2 linked regions of the Notamacropus eugenii genome follow. Each later gene encodes a partner of the first gene's protein in a complex. Links are inferred from orthologs where the notes say so. Each region holds a gene or a part of one and is shown on either strand. Other genes may lie near its edges.

Region 1 (8,357 bases):
CAAGAAGTAGCCAACTGAAACCTTCAGGAGCCTGACAATGTTAGACCTTAGTCAGACTCAGTGCAAAGTCAAAACAAGTTCCAAGGAGGAAATGTATTGCGAGCCAGGACAATCTGTCTCTCTGGGACAGAGCTCCACCCTTCCCGGGGCATTGTTCGCGTGGACCAAAACTCCCCACCGCCCACCAGCACCAACACGCTGGCTCTTTTGGCTCTTCCTTCCTTCCCTCCCTCCCTTGCTTCCTAGGGCCCTGCGGCACCACCCGGGTTGGGGTGGGGTTGGATTGCACCCTAGAACTTTTCCAACAAAGTGTGGGATTGGGAGGGGGAGGCGTCAGCACAGCACCCCTGTAGGCCTGCAGCAGAGTTCAGGTTTAGGAAGAGGAATTAACGTTCCCAGAGGACATGATAGTCTCCGGGTTGTCGCCGTCGTCCTTTTGCGGGTGGGAAGAATTATCTGATTTGCTGCGGCTGAACTCCATGCCGCCAATGATGGGTCGCTTGAACTTGGCCCCCGAGTCCCCGCTAGGGCACTTGCAGCAAGACATGATGCGCACGAATGCCCGCCGCATCTCCTTGTTGGTCAGCGTGTAAATGATGGGGTTGGTGGCCGAGTTGAGCACCGCCAACACCAAGAAATACTCAGCCTTGTAGAGGATTTTACACGTATTCACCTTGCAGCCCACGTCCAGAAGGAGCAAGATGAAAAGTGGAGACCAACAGGCAATGAAAGCGCTCAAGACGATGATGACCGTCTTGAGGAGCGCAAGTGATTTCTCGGAGCTCCTGCTGGCCTTAGAAATGTTCTTGCGGAAGGTCAGCCGACGGCTCCGAGTCCTGACCAGGGAATAGATCCGGCAGTAGAGGATGACGATGGAGAGGAGGAGCAGGGTGAAAACTGTGGTGCAGAAAAGGATATAGTGCTTGTGGTAGAGGGGCAGCACGGTGGAGCAGCTTTGTAAGTAGCCAATGCAGTTCCAACCCATGATGGGCAGCCCCCCCAGGATCAGCGAGATGACCCAGCAGGCGCTGATGAGCAGGAAGGAGCGGAAACTGTTGCTCCCGTTGTGTAGCTTCATCTTTAGCATGGTGATGTAGCGCTCGATGGCAATGGCCAGCAAGCTGAACACGGAGGCCGACAGGGCCACGAACATACTACCCTCCCGCAGGAACCACTGCGCTGGAGTGAGTTTGTAGGTGGTGGCCCCGGAGAGAAGGAGGTTGGCTGTATAGGCCACCCCGGCCAGCAGGTCCGACAGGGCTAAGTTTCCAATGAAATAGTACATGGGCCGGTGGAACTTCTTGGTTTTCCAGATGGTCAGGAGCACGAAAATGTTCTCCAGGATAATGAAGCAGCAGATGAGGATGAATAACACCGAAGTCACTTTGAGGCCGCTCTCCGCGCTGGAGTTCAGCTTTCCCGTGTAGTTGTAATGCTTGATGATGATGTCATAGTTGACATAGTCAGAGACCAAGCTGGGAATGGCCTTGACCGACGGCACACTGGTGGAGCCCATGATTCTGGGAGAAAGGCCTGCAGTAGCCCTATGCGTCGCCTCCCCAACTGGACGCTAGAGGGCAAAGTCGAGCAAGGCTTGTACCACCGGCTGGTACAGGGAGCGGTGGCCAGTCTTTTCTGTAGCCCTTCCCCTGCTGATGGGGCCTCGAAGACCTCGGCCCTAAACAAGGCACAAAGAGGAGAGAGTCAGGGGGGGAAAGAGGCACATTACGTTGGCATAATTCATTCGAGCTACAGTTGTGGCTCTATCTATGTTCAGAGAGAAGAGAAAGGGGGTAAAAACCTACAAGGAATCGAATGTCCAACTTTTGCAAAAAGAAAAGTCCTCAATTTTCTCCAAACCGAAAAAAATCCTGCATTTTCCTCCCTCCCTCCACCCCCACCCCCGCCAAAACTAGACAGAATGTATTAGGGAAGACTTTTTAAACTAAACTTGGAGATGCTTGTGGTGGATCATACTGCATTTCCAATTACTCCAGACCTCTCCTGAGTCCCTCCCTGGGTAAGCCCTTCCTCTCCCCCCCGACACACACTTTCAGCTGCTTCACTCGCCATCTCACTCAACTCCAATGCGGGCAATTAAACCTCAAGTTTAGAAACCGAGGGTTGGGGTGGGGAGGAGGGGAGGGGAGTACTGTCCCCTCCCCTTCCTAAAAAGGAGAAACGACTGCCGAATTGTTATGTATGAATTTCTCAAGAAAATCAGCTCATAAACTAAATCACTCTTTTCACTCTATTAATAGCATCCTCTAGAAGCAGGTGTGCAGTGAAGATCACCAGCGTGAGGCTCCAGTGAGGTGTGCGAAGCGAGGCCAACAGCAACCTAAGCGGTAAACAGGAAAGCTTAAAACTTAAAATGAAGCTCCCCCTCCCCCTTTTTGCGCAACCTTTGAAAGCAGCAGTAGGGCAGTACAAATAGACTTAAAGGAACTTAGTGAAACCCATTCATAACAAAGGGAATTCAGCAGACCTCAAAGTTTGAGATAACTAATAAATAGATTGCATAAGTTTTTTTAACATTTTTTTCTGGTTTAAAAAAACATGTTATAGTTAGAATGACAACGCAGGTCGTCAAGTTCTGATGTTCCACCGCAAAACGATTTTCAAGAAAGTCAAATAACTAAACGCTTTAACAGATTACAATGTATACCATAAATAATCTCCCACCACCACCTCTGTAAAAAAAAGAGGGTCCCCTCTTTCAATGAACCAGAAAGTGAGGAGGAAAAAGACCAAGGCGATATCACAAAACTAGAAAGTGAAATTCCTTAATATGCTAAAGGCAATGTAGCAGCAGTAGTAACTGGGTAACAAATGGACCCTTTAAGATTTAACGTAGTAACTATCTTGGATCAGCAGAGATTTCTCTGCACGCACTTCGTTGACACCCCTGTCCTCCCCAACGAATTCTGCAATGGGACGCCGTACAGAGCAAGTGGATATTCTTTTTAGCACTTTTTCTGCAAGCGTTGTCTATTGGGTTTTCAACAATGACCCTCTCCCCCTTTTCCTTCCTCTCGGCTGACCACCCGCGGACTTTTCCAGCCTTTCGTCCAATTTCGATTTGGCACCCCTTAAACTCTTGCAAATCACATCTATAAACGCCTCCAAAACTTGAGGCAGGTAAGAGAGTCAGCAGGGTCAGCCTGTCTGATTTGCGTTCCTAGGGGAGATAATCGCTCACATATGGAGTTTTCGATATTAATAATAACTACGATAATGCATGCGTGCACATTTTAAAACTTCATATCCAAAGCCAAAGTTTGCTTTCCACAGTTTGCGATCAAAGCCCATTCAAGACCTGGGCTCCCTCCCGTCTTCCCCTAGTCCACGTTGCTCCTCGGAGCTCTTACCTCGCTCAGGCAGGACAAAGTTCGTTTTTAAATGCTTCTGGTCGGCAGGAGCTCGTGCTTGGCATCTTGCTGCCCCAGAATGAATTCAAGCCTCGCTACCAAACTTCCTTTACCAAGGGGTCCCCCCCCTCCTTCTCCTCGCTCTCCAGCTAAGCGCGTTCTGGCCAGTCCGGGAGGTGCAGGCAGGAGATAGAGCCCAATCCAGAGAGCTCAACTAACTGTACTGGTAGTCTCACTGGCGTGTATGTGTTTTCTTCTGCTGCTGGTTTAGGGAGGGACTGGGAGGGGTTAACGTATCTAATCTTTCACCCCCTCCTCAGGCAGCTGGGGCTCCTCTGGATCTGAATAGTCACTCCGGACTCTCCAGGAAAGGAGCTGGGTGGATGGGAGGGGAAACCGAGAGGAGGGGGACGCAAACCACCAACCAGACCTAGCTCAGTAGGAGGAGCCTGGGGGCCCCCTTGTAGCTATAATGTATAAATCACGGTCCTTTAGCTGCCAAGACGCTGCTCCCGGGCGGTGGAGCTTATTCATCCCCGCTACTCTTTTGAAAAGAGAGTGGGGGAGGGAGAAGTCTGAGAGCTTTGGAAAACTTCTCTTTTTTCTATGTGTTTGGATGCCTAACACTGGCTTGTCCTAAGCAAACCCCTAGACTGCTTCCTTCCAGCCTCCTCCCAGCTCCCCTCCACATTCTCACTCTCTCCCAGAAGTCATTTCCACGCAACCTTCTCTCCTCTCCTCTCCTCTTCTGTCCTCTCCTCTCCTCTCCTCTTCTGTCCTCTCCTCTCCTCTCCTCTCCTCTGCTTCTTCTCCTCCCTTCCCCATACCCGCCCCCAAGAGACTATTAACCAAGGTCCGGTTTCTGGGTCCCTGGGGAGTAACCACAGGGTATAGGAAGGGAAGCCCTGGGAATCAGAGAGAAGCTTCTAAGAAGCCAGGGCCCGCGCTTGGGAGAAAAGTGGGGAGGGTCTGGGAGAGAGGGGGATGTCAAAGTGGTCTTTGGTTCAGGCAAGCTGGATAGGCAGGACCCGAAGAATGTCCCTCATCTCCCTTTCTCTTTTCGCCACATTCACCACCAGTTCTCTTTTGAGGCTGGATAGAGTGAGCATCTTGGGGAGGGGAGGAGGGGCAGAGATTGTGGGCAGAGGGAAAAAAAAAATTGGCTCTTGTTGAGTGGAATGCCATAGCATCGCGTCACAAGAGAAATGGGAAATGAGAGGAAAGAGGGATAGCTCGGGATGATGGGAAGAACGGAGGGGGATGGAAGGGGGTATTTCCATGTCTGTCTAAAGTGGGATAAAGGTCAAGATCAGAGAAAGTGGGTTGTAGAGGCAAGAGTCTTGGACAGGTCAACAAATCCCTTTACCTCTCTGGCCCTCAATGTCCTTATCTATAAAATGAGAAGATTGGGCTAAATTTGGTCTCTCATCCAGGTCTCATATTCTTGTCATCCTGTTTTCTCCTCTCCCCTTCCCATGTCATTCGCCTTTTCTGTCTCTGTGTCTATTTCTTTTATCTCTGTCTCTCCCTCTCCTTCTCTGACTCAATCTCTATTTCTGTCTCTGCAGGTCTCTCCCTTTGTCTGTAGGTCTCTCTTCCTCTTCTTTCTCCCTCCCTCTCCTGTACCCTTTTGGATTGGACAGTGGATGGATTACAATCAATGTATTTAAATAAAAAGAATTACAGGAGTTTGGGGGCGGAGTCAATGCCTAGAAACTCCAAAGAAAGGAAAACTCAGGCTTACTCTCCAGCCAGGGGCCCTCTCAATCCCCCAAACAGCAGGAAGATCGTCTCTTCTTTCATCACTCTACCTGGTAAGAAAGTCAAAGCTGAAGAGGAACAGACTCACCCCCTCTCTCCACTTTAACCTTCTAAGAACATGGGCAGAGTCCAGATAAAACATATGTAGGTAGCAAAAACATTATACCTCTATTCAGCTGATAAACAGCTACTAGCCATATTTACTTTCCTTAAGATCCTGTGATCCTATGTACTAGCTCTTTAGTAGATGTGAAGAAACATATCTTCCCCTGCTGTCTAGTTTCTATTGGCGTACACACCCTCTACCTGAATGAGTCAGAAGAAGGTTAGAAGAAGAAAACATCAGACCCCTAGCTTCTAGAATGTTATGAGTTTGCAGGAAAAAATGAAAAGTTTCTCGTTTTAAAGTAACGGTTAGTTCACATCTGTCACAGAGTTCCCTTTAATGACAAACTTTTACAATGCACAAAACCATACATAAACATCACAAACTCAAACACTAACTTTAAAAACAGGGGAAACAGAGTTCTCAGATGTGTCTCGAGTTGCATTTGAGAGCTTTGTTAATTTCAAAGGAGAGATGGATGGTAATTTAGCAATTATCTGTTAGTATAATTATAGACACATTGGACGGGTGCACACAGACAAATTGCATCATCTCTTGTCTGGATGGGTACAATAGTTTATTTTCCCCATAGCTGGTTACTGCTTACTCCAGCCTATCCTTACGATGCTACCAATGTTTTTTATAGGTTATGATTTCATTGGGATATGGGCATCCTACTACCAACATAGTTCCCCATGTGCTATGTAGTTTAAAGTCTTGAAGAGTTAGTTTTCTTGAATACCAAGAAGGTAAGTGACTTGTCCAGTATCACTCAGCCAGTCTGCATCAAAAGTGAGACCTGAATTCAGGTCTTTCTGACTCAGAGGCTAGTTCTCCATCCACTATGCCACACTGCCTCACATACTGCCAGTTTAACCTTCCTAAAACACTTCTTTGTATATATCCAAAGTTTCCAGGAGCTCCCTATTGCTTTAGTAAGGATTCTTGACCTGGGATCAGCAAATATCACAGATAGATCTCAAGAGTTCATTAACTTGGATGAAGAAAAAGTATGTCTTTATTTTCACTAACTTTTGACTTCCTTTGAAATCTAATATATGTTATTTGATGCATTTAAAAATATTATTCTGAGAAGAGATCCATAGGCTTCACTAGACTGTCAAAAGGGTCCAGGAAAGGTTAAGATCCCCTAGCCTTAAATAGGCTAAAACTCAAATTCCTTAACCTGATATTAAAGGCCCTCCACAATCTAGCATCAAACTCCTTTTCTAGACTTCTGTGTTATGGACCTCTTCGGGAATCAGGGGAAACCTATGGGATCTTTTTCAGAATAATATTTGTAAATGCATAAAATAAAATCCATAGGATCACAAAGGAAACCAAAGGTTAAAGAAAATGAATATGTGTTTTTATGTCATTCTAGTTCATCTTCCCCCTGAAAACTATTCATAGAAGGAGTCCATGGACCCCAGGTTTACCTTTAAGCTCCAGCTAAGCTGCTAACCTTTCCCTACTTGTGTCCCAAGGTCTTTTCTCAGGCTATTTTCCTAAATCTGATGCATCCTCTCTCCTCATCTAATCTGTCAAAATCCTGCCAATTCTTTAAGTCTCAGCACAAATGTCACCTCTTCCATGAAGCCATCCTTGATTTTTCCAGTTGATAATGATCTTTTTTGAGATAGATCTGCTATAGTATTTTTCTCTTCTCCAATGCTTTTATCATATAAATTTTTGCATTATAGTTCCACAATTCAATTTAATTCAACAAACACTTATTAATGGAAAAGGCACCTGGCTAATTTGGAAGAATATTTAAAATAAAACAAATATTTCTCTGAAGTCTTTCCCAGACTTTACCACTTAGAAAAATGTATGAAGAGTCAAGAAAAAAAAGCACAAGTTTTGAGAATGTGGATTAAGGGGCAATAACCAATTTAAAGGGGAGGGGGAGGGTTGGCACATGTGCAGAGCACCTGGGACAGCATCTTTCCATATGGAGAGCTAAGGAGTATGCTTTTGGGAAAATCTTGATGATATACAGGAAATGCCTTCTGGAGACAATGGAGCATGAGTGGACTTACGTAACTGTTTCTGGTTAGCTAACCACATACTGTAGAATAGACTGGCTTTGGAGGTATTCAAAAAGGCCTCTCAGAGTTGGCTACTTCCCCTTTAGTCTTCTTCACTTTTGGTCTCTTTTGATGAATCCTTCACTCACTGAATCTGGTGAAAGACCATTGTTGTCAAGGGAAAGGCTTTAGGGTCTTCTTCCAGTCTAAGGTGGTATGGTCTCATGACATGACCCTTAGCTTCTAATTTTAACTAAAGGTCGAAATCAGAGAAAGTGGGATGTAGTCATTAGTCCTTAGCCTCTACTTTTGTTTTCATTTTTTGTTTTGTTTTGTTTTCCTTTTTAAGCAAGGGAAATTGGTGTTTTCAATCCTAGGAGTTTTGAAAGTTAGGAGAGCCAAAGGAATCTGGGAAACAGGTCTAGGATAGGTTTTTCAGCCACAAATAAGGAACAACCTTTAGAAATGACTTTCAGTACCCCAGCCCACCAGTAATTTAGACAAGGAACCATTCAGCAGAGATGCTGTTTTTGTGTGTGAACTTAATGGGACTAATGTTGTATAGGAACTGAGCTAAGCTTTAAGCTTATTCTCCTAGGGACAGAGGAGGTGTTGGGGGAAGAGTGGCATATTTGTATGTTCTTGCTATGCCTTTGAATTAAATAGTTCTCTATCAAAACTAGTTAATGTCATTTATTTAACCCAGACTTGTCTGGATTACACAGTAAAAGAGGAAGGTCTTCCTTCCCCACTCCCTCTTTTACCTCTGCTTCAAGAAATGGGCTTGGAGGTATTTGTTTCTATTCTGTGCTATTTGTCCTCCTAAGTTGCAGGTTCTGGAGGTGATTCCCATAGGACCTACAAAGAACTTGAGCCAACCTTGGAGCCAGGATTGAGTCAGGGTAGTACAGCTGGCCCTCCCGGTATGGAAGCTTTGAAAAGCCTCTGATACAAGCCCAAGAGGGCTTTTGGATTTATAACTGGGACTGTGCTATAGGAATGGAGCTTAACTGTGAAACTAATCCCTTTCCCCTAAGGCTGATGTGCTACAAAGTGGAGAGGAGTGGGAAAAGGAATATGCCTCCCTTG
Region 2 (7,871 bases), on another chromosome or scaffold:
CCCCCAACAGTATTAAACTCAGTTTTTCTGGGTAGGTGATTCTTGTTTTAATCCTAGTTCCTCTGACTTCTGGAATATCATATTCCAAGCCCTTTGATCCCTTAATGTAGAAGCTGCTAAATCTTGTGTTATCCTGATTAGATTTTCACAATACTCAAATTGATTCTTTCTAGCTCCTTGCAGTATTTTCTCCTTGACCTGGGAACTCTCGAATTTGGCTACAATATTCCTAGGAGTTTCTCTTTTTGGATCTTGTTCAGCAGATGATCTGTGGATTCTTTCAATATTTATTTTGCACACTGGTTCTAAAATATCAGGGCAGTTTTCCTTGATAATTTCATGAAAGATGATGTCTAAGCTCTTATTTTTTATCATGGCTTTGAGGTAGTCCCATAATTTTTAAATTGTGTCTCTTCAACCTATTTTTGAGGTCACTTGTTTTTCCAATGAGACATTTCACATTATCTTCCATTTTTTCATTCTTTTGGTTTTGTTTTGTTATTTCTTGGTTTCTCATAAAGTCATTCTTTTCTTCAGTGAGCTTTTGAAACTCTTTCCATTTGGCTAATTCTGCTTTTTAGAGCACTTTCTCCTCATTGGCTTTTTGAACCTCTTTTGTCAATTGAGTTAGGCTATTTTTAAAGGTGTTATTTTCTTCAGCATTTTTTTTGGTTTCCTTTAGCAAGCTGTTGACTCACTTTTCATGACTTTCTTGCATTGCTCTCATTTCTTTTCCCATTTTTTCCTCCATCTCTCTAGCTTGATTTTCAAAATCCTTTTTGAGCTCTTCCATGGCCTAAGACCATTGCATATTTATTTTGGAGGTTTTGAATGCAGAAGCCTTGACTTTTATGTCTTCCCCTGATGGTAAACATTCTTCTTCCTCATCAGAAAGGATGGTAGAAAATACCTGTTCACCAAGAAAGTAACCTTCTATAGTCTTATTTTTTTCCCTTTTTTGGTCATTTTCCCAACCAGTTACCTGACTTTTTGGTCCTTTATCAAGAGTAGGGTATACTCTGGAGACCTGCAAGATTTCAGTTCCTCCAAGATGTCACAATTAAGTGAGAGGAATTTACTCCCTGGCCAGGCTCATGATTGAGATTCATATCAGCTGCTCAATTTCTCCAAGGGCTTTAGGTGTGGGGCAGGGCCACCACTCAGGGCTCAGGTTCATATCAGCTGCTCAGTTCCCTGGTGGGGGGAGGTTTAAGCTGAACTCTCCAACAATGGAACAATGGACACTGGCTGCTGCTACCTCTGCCACACCAAAGAGGTCAGTGTTGAGACTGTACTTCCATCTGAAACTTCAGATGGAAATATGAACTGGTATGAAGCACAAAGAGCAATCTTGGAAGAGCTCAGGAAGGATTTTAAAAGCCAAATTAGAGAAATAGAAGAAAAACTGACATGATTTTTTTTTTAAATATGAAAAAAGAAATCACAGAAGAATTTAAAAGGAATATTGGACAAAGGGAAAAGGAAGCACAAAAACCTAACTGGAGAAAATAATTCCTTAAAAGGAACAACTGGACAGATGAAAAAGGAGATGCAAAAATTAACTGAAGAAAACAATTTGATAAATAGTAGAATCAGGTAAGTAGAAACTAAAGACTCTATGAGACATCAAGAATGAGTCAAACAGAATTTAAAGAATGAAAAGATAGAAGAAAATGTAAAATATCTAATTGGAAAAACAACCAACCTGGGAAAATACATCCAGGAGAGAAAATCTAAGGATTATTGATCTACCAGAAAGTCATGATGAAAAAAGAGCCAAGACAATATCTTCCAAGTAATCATCAAGGAAAATTGTCCAGAAGTCCTAGATCCGAAGGGCAAAGTAGTCATTGAAAGAGTCCATTGTTCATCTCCTGCAAGGCATTCCAAACTAAAATCACCAAGGAATATCGTTGCAAAATTCCAGAACTATCAAGTGAAGGAGAAAATACTGCAGGCAGCCAGAAAGAAACCATTCAAATGTCAAGGACCTACAGTCAGGATCACACAGGACCTTACAGCTTCTACATTAAAAGATCAGAGTGATTGGAATATGATATTCCATAAGGCAAAGGAGCTGGGACTACAACCAAGGATCAATTACCTAGGAAATTTGAGCATAATATTTCAGGCAAGGAGATGGACATTCAATGAAATAAGGGATCTCCAGACCTTCCTGATGAAAAGGCCAGAGCTCAGTAGAAAATTCAAATGCAGGTCTCAAGAGAGGCATAAAAAAGTAAACAGGGGGAAAATGGGCAATATGGGTAAACTGTTTCCAAATCTATAAAGGAAGATGATGCTTGTTAATCTTGAGAGTTGTATACTTATTATGATATATAAAAGGAATATACATAGATAGAGAGAGTGGTATAAAGTAAATGATGTCATGATAAAAATGTGATTTAAGAGTGTGAAGGGATTGTAATGAGAGATGTGAAAAGGAGGAGTCATAAAAAGGTAAATTGGATCACAGGAAGAGGCACAAAAATATATTACAGTAGAAGGAAAGAGGGGAGGGAGATGAGCATTGTTTGAGAATCACTCTCATTTGATTAGATTCAAGGAGGGAACCATAAACTCAGTTAAGTATAGAAATACAACTAGCTCCATAGGCAATAGGAGGGGAAGCGGGAAAGAAAAGGAAGGGGAAACTAAAAGGGAGGGAAGAAGAAATAGGAGAAAAGGGAATTAAAATGGAGGGGAGTTCAAAGAAGGGGGGAAGATTGAGGGAGGCTGTGGTCAAAAATTAAAGTTTTATTGTGGAGGGGAAGGGAAAAGGACAATTAAAAATATAAACAGGGGAAAGGGGATGGAGGGAAAGACACAGATAGTAATCATAACTGTGAATGTGAATGGAATGAACCCTCCCAGAAAACAGAGATGGATAGTAGAATGGATTAAAAACCATAATCCAACAATAAGTTGTTTACAAGAAACATATTTGAAATGTGGGCATACACACAGGGTAAAGGTGAAAGGTTGGAACAGAATATATTGTGCTTCAGCTGATGTTAAAAAAGCAGGGGTAGCAATCTCAATCTCAGACAAAGGAAAAGCAGAAATAGATCTAATCAAAAAAGATAAAGAAGGAAACTATATCCTGCTAAAAGGCATCATAGACAACGAAGCAATTTCATTACTAAATATATATGCTCCAAGTAGTATAGCAACCAGATTCCTAGAGGACAAGTTAAGGGAGTTACAGGAAGAAATAGACAGCAAAACTATACTAGTGGGGGACTTCAACCTCCCCCTCTCTGAACTTGATAAATCTAACCTCAAAACAAACAAGAAAGAAGTTAAAGAGGTGAATAAAACTCTGGATAAGGTAGGTATGATAGATCTCTGGAGAAAATTGAAAAGGGATAGAAAGAACTATACCTTTTTCTCAGCTGTACATGGCACATATATAAAAATTGACCATGTACTAGGCCATAAAATCCTCACTATCCAGTGCAGAAAGGCAGTCAGTGCATCCTTCTTAGATCATAATGCAATAAAAATTATATATAATCAAAGGCCATGGAAATATAAAGCAAAAATTAATTGGAAACTGAACAATTCAATCCTAAAGAACAAGTGGGTTAAACAACAAATTATGGAAACAATCAATAAGTTCATTCAAGAGAATGACAATAATGAGACAACTCACCAAATCTTATAGGAAACTGAAAAATCAGTTCTTAGATGAAGCTTTATATCTTTGAATGCCTGCATGAATAAAATAGAGAAATAGGAGATCAGTGAATTGGACATGCAGCTGAAAAAGCTAGAAAAAAAAATTGAAATCCCCAGGTGAATACAAAATTAGAAATCCTGAAAACCAAAGGAGAATTTGAAGTTGAAATTGAGAATTGAATTGAAATTGAAATTAAGAAAACTACTGAACTAATAAATAAAACTAAGAGTTGGTTTTATGAAAAAAACAGTAAAATTGATAAAACTTTGGTCAATTGGATTAAAAAAAGAAAGAAGAAAACCAAATTATCAATATCAAAAATGAAAAGGGTGAACTAACCTCCAATGAGGAGGAAATTAAAACAATAATTAGAAATTACTTTCCCCAACTGTATGCCCACAAATTCGACAATCTAAATGAGATGGATGATTATTTTAAAAAATATAAACTGCCCAGATTAACAGAAGAGGAAGTTGAATACTTAAATAACCTCATCTCAGAAAAAGAAATTGAACAAACCATCAATGAACTCCTTGGGAAAAAATCTCCAGAGCCAGACAAATGAATTTACAAGTGAATTCTATCAAACATTTAAAGAACACTTAATTAAAATACTACATAGACTATTTGGGAAAATTGCATGTAGTTCTGATGCCTAAACCAGGAAGAGCCAAAACAAAGAAAGAAAATTATAGACCAATTTCTCTATTGAGTATAGATGCAAAAATTTTAAATAAGATGTTAGCAAAAAGGCTACAGCAACTTATGACTAGAATAATACATTTTTCTCAGGTAGGATTTCTACCAACAGTGCAGGACTGGTTCAATATTAGGAAAACTATTAGTATTATTGATCATATCAACAATAAAACTGACAGAAACCACATGATTATCTCAAGAGATGCAGAAAAAGCTTTTGCCAAAAACCAGTGTTTCCTATTGAAAACACGGGAAAGCGTAGTAATATATGAAACTTTCTAGAAAATAATATGCAGTGTCTACCTAAAATCATCAGCAAGCATTATGTGCAATGGGGATAAGCTAGATGCATTTCCAATAAGATCAGGGGTGAAACAAAGATGTCTTTTATTACCACTGTTATTAAATATGTTAGTAGAAATGCTAGCTGTAGCAATAAGAGAAGAAAAAATTTGAAGGAATTAGAATAGTCAAAGAAGAAACTAAGTTATTACTCTTTGCAGATGATGTGATGATATCCTTAGAGAATTCCAGAGAATGAAGTAAAAAACTACTTGAAATAATAAATAACTGACAAAGTTGCAGGTTACAAAATAAACCCAGATAAATCATCTGCATTTCTATATATTACTAACAAAGTCCAACAGCAAGAGATAGAAAGAAAAATCCTATTTAAAGCTATGGTAGACACTATAAAACATCTGGCAGTCTACCTGCCAAAACAAACCCAGGGACTATATGAACACAATTACAAAAGACTTTTCACAGAAATAAAATCAGATCTAAGTTAAGTGGAAAAATCTCAGTTGCTCATGGGTAGGCCGAGCTAATATAATAAAAATGACAATTCTACCTAAATTAATGTACTTATTCAGTGCCATACCAATCAAACTTACCAGATAATTACTTTCTACAGCTAGAAAAAATAGTATCAAAATTCATCTGGAAGAACAAAAGGTTCAGAAAAACAAGGGAACGAATGAAAAGAAATGGTAGGGAAGGTGCCCTAACCCTACCAGATCTCAAATTGTATTATAAAGGTATTGGTATTGGCTAAGAAATAGAGGGGTAGACCAGTGGAATAGTTAGGTACTCCAGACACAGTAGTCCATGAATATAGCAATCTACTGTTTGATAAACCCAAGGGCCTTAACTTCTGGGATAAGAACTCACTTTGACAAAAATTGCTGGGAGAACTGGATAACAGTGTGGCAGAAACTGGGCATAGACCCATGTCTGACACCGTACACAAGAATGATACATGATCTAGGTATAAACAAATTAGGGGAGGAGGGAATAATGTATTTGTCAGATTTATGGAGAATGGAGAAATTTATGACCAAACAAGAGATAGAGAACATTATGAAGTGCAAAATGGATAATTTTGATTACATTAAATTGAAATGTTTTTGCACAGAAGAACCCAATGCAACCAAGATTAGGAGGGAAGAAGAAAACTGGGAAAGAATTTTTGTGACTAATGTCTGTGATAAAGGCCTCTTTTCTATACTGTATAGAGAACTGAGTGAAATGTCCAAGAATACAAGTCGTTCCCCAATTGATAAATGGTCAAAAGATATGAACAGGCAGTTTTCAGAGGAAGAAATTAAATATATCTATAGTCATATGAAAAAATGCCCTAAATCACTATTGGTTAGAGAGATACAAATCAAAACAACTCTGAGATACCACATTACACCTATCAGATTGACTAATGTGACAAAAGAGGAAGATAATAAATGTTGGAGAAGATGTAGGAGAATTGGAACACTAATTCATTGTTGGTGGAGCTGTGAGCTGATCCAACCATTCTGGAGAGCAATTTGGAACTATGCCCAAAGGACTACAAGAATGTGCATACACTTTGACTCAGTAATATCACTTCTGGTACTCTCTTCTAAAGAGATCATAAAAATGGGAAAGGGTCCTATATGTACAAAAATGTTTATAGCAGCTCTCTGTGGTGGCCAAAAACTGGAAATCAAGGAGATGTCCATCAATTGGGAAATGGCTGAGTAAGTTGTTGTATATGAATATAATGGAATCCTGTTGTGCTATGAAAAATGAACAGGAAGAGAGGCCTGGAAAGACTTATATGAACTGATGCTAGGTTAAAGGAGCAGAACCAAGAGAACTTTGTACACAGGAACAACCACAGTGTGCGAGGAATTTTTCTGGTAGACTTAGTACTTCATTTCAATGCAAGGACTTAAAAAATTTCCAATGGTCTCGAGGCAAAATACTTTCCACATCCAGAGAAATAACTATGAAATTGGATTGCAGATAGAAGCAGACCATTTTCTTTTGTATTATGCTTTGTTTTGTTTTGTTTTATGGTTTCTCCCATTCATTTTAATTCTTCTATGCAGCATGTATTTAATAGAAATGCATATGTAAAACCTATATAAGATTGCATGCCCTCTCAGGGAGGGAATGAGGAGGGAGGAGGAAATGAGGAGAAGGGAGAGGAAAATATCTAAGATGTATGGAAGTGATTGTTGAACACTGAAAACAAATAAAATAATTTAATTTTTAAAAAAGGACACTCAAGAGCTTTGTTTCCAGAAGAGTCATGTTGAAATGTAAAGGAAGTGCCTTAGCATGCATGGATGTAACTGGTTCTAGTTAGCAAACCACTTGGTGAAGGAAGGCTCTCTAATTGGTTTTAAATGTCTTCAAAAAAAAGCCTCCTAAGCACCAGCCATGGACTCTTTTCCCTCAGTTATTTTGAAGGCATTTTGAGGAATCCTTTGCCGAAGGCGTCTGGTGAGACACCATGTGGTAAATGAGAAAATCTTAGGGCTTTTCCCTATCTGAAGCCATGGGGTCCCAATCTCTATCCTCAATCTTTTCTTTTGTTCTTTTCCATGCTGGGTAAAGTCTCATACTGTAGTGAGTTCAAAAGGTCATCATTAGGGCATAGCAACATTTTGTTGAAGCCAATACAGCATTAATCAAAGAGTGATCTTCTAGACCCAGGCCAATGGAAACTGAAATTAGGTTTTACCTGAAAATCATGCAGCATATAAAAGTGAACTTGATGGGATCAGTGCTATATAGGAAAGTAACTAAGTGTTGAGTTAACTCCCTTAGAAGTGAAAGTCATATAAGGGAGAGCATGCCCCTTCTTAAATATTTGGGGTGGGAGAAAATATTATTGGGTATATACATAATTTTTAATGAAATGTCCCTTTCTAAAAGCTTTTAAAAAGTTAATTATATTTTAATGATTAAGTTTCTTTCTAAGTAGTCTCTTTTATAATATAGGAACACATTTTGGGTCTCGCTATTGAACTTAAACAAAATATAAATGCAGTGGTTTTTCTGTATTATCCCTGGGGGTTTCATCAAAGATGGGTACACTTTCCTATTGATCTTAACAATCAACCTCCGGAAATTTATACTCCATGTTTACATTTGTCTTAGTCTTCAAACAGGAAACATTTAAACCACTTCTGAAGACATGAATATAAAGCTTTAAAAAAAAGTT

Evidence for each region.
Region 2: the proteins of S1PR1 (region 1) and early activation antigen CD69-like are in contact, whole or in part, in a cryo-EM structure (PDB 8G94), measured with the Homo sapiens proteins. The link is inferred for Notamacropus eugenii from reciprocal best matches to the Homo sapiens genes S1PR1 and CD69. Residues at the interface, in NP_001307659.1 of Homo sapiens: Asn157, Leu160, Phe161, Ile164, Ser165, Trp168, Val169, Leu172, Ile173, Gly176, Ile179, Met180, Gly181; in NP_001772.1 of Homo sapiens: Val41, Ala44, Val45, Val48, Val49, Thr52, Ile53, Ile56, Ile59, Ala60, Val63.

The regions. Positions count from the first base shown.
Region 1 is NC_092873.1:277,722,721-277,731,077, reverse strand, and holds the start of S1PR1 (sphingosine 1-phosphate receptor 1), read right to left. Parts: upstream 3,752-8,357; 5' UTR 3,372-3,751; intron 3,342-3,371; exon of another isoform or gene 2,052-3,341; intron 1,679-2,051; 5' UTR 1,517-1,678; coding exon 374-1,516; 3' UTR 1-373.
Region 2 is NC_092874.1:200,193,085-200,200,955, reverse strand, and holds the start of early activation antigen CD69-like, read right to left. Parts: upstream 3,711-7,871; 5' UTR 3,656-3,710; intron 1-3,655. UniProt on the Homo sapiens protein: Transmembrane protein expressed mainly on T-cells resident in mucosa that plays an essential role in immune cell homeostasis.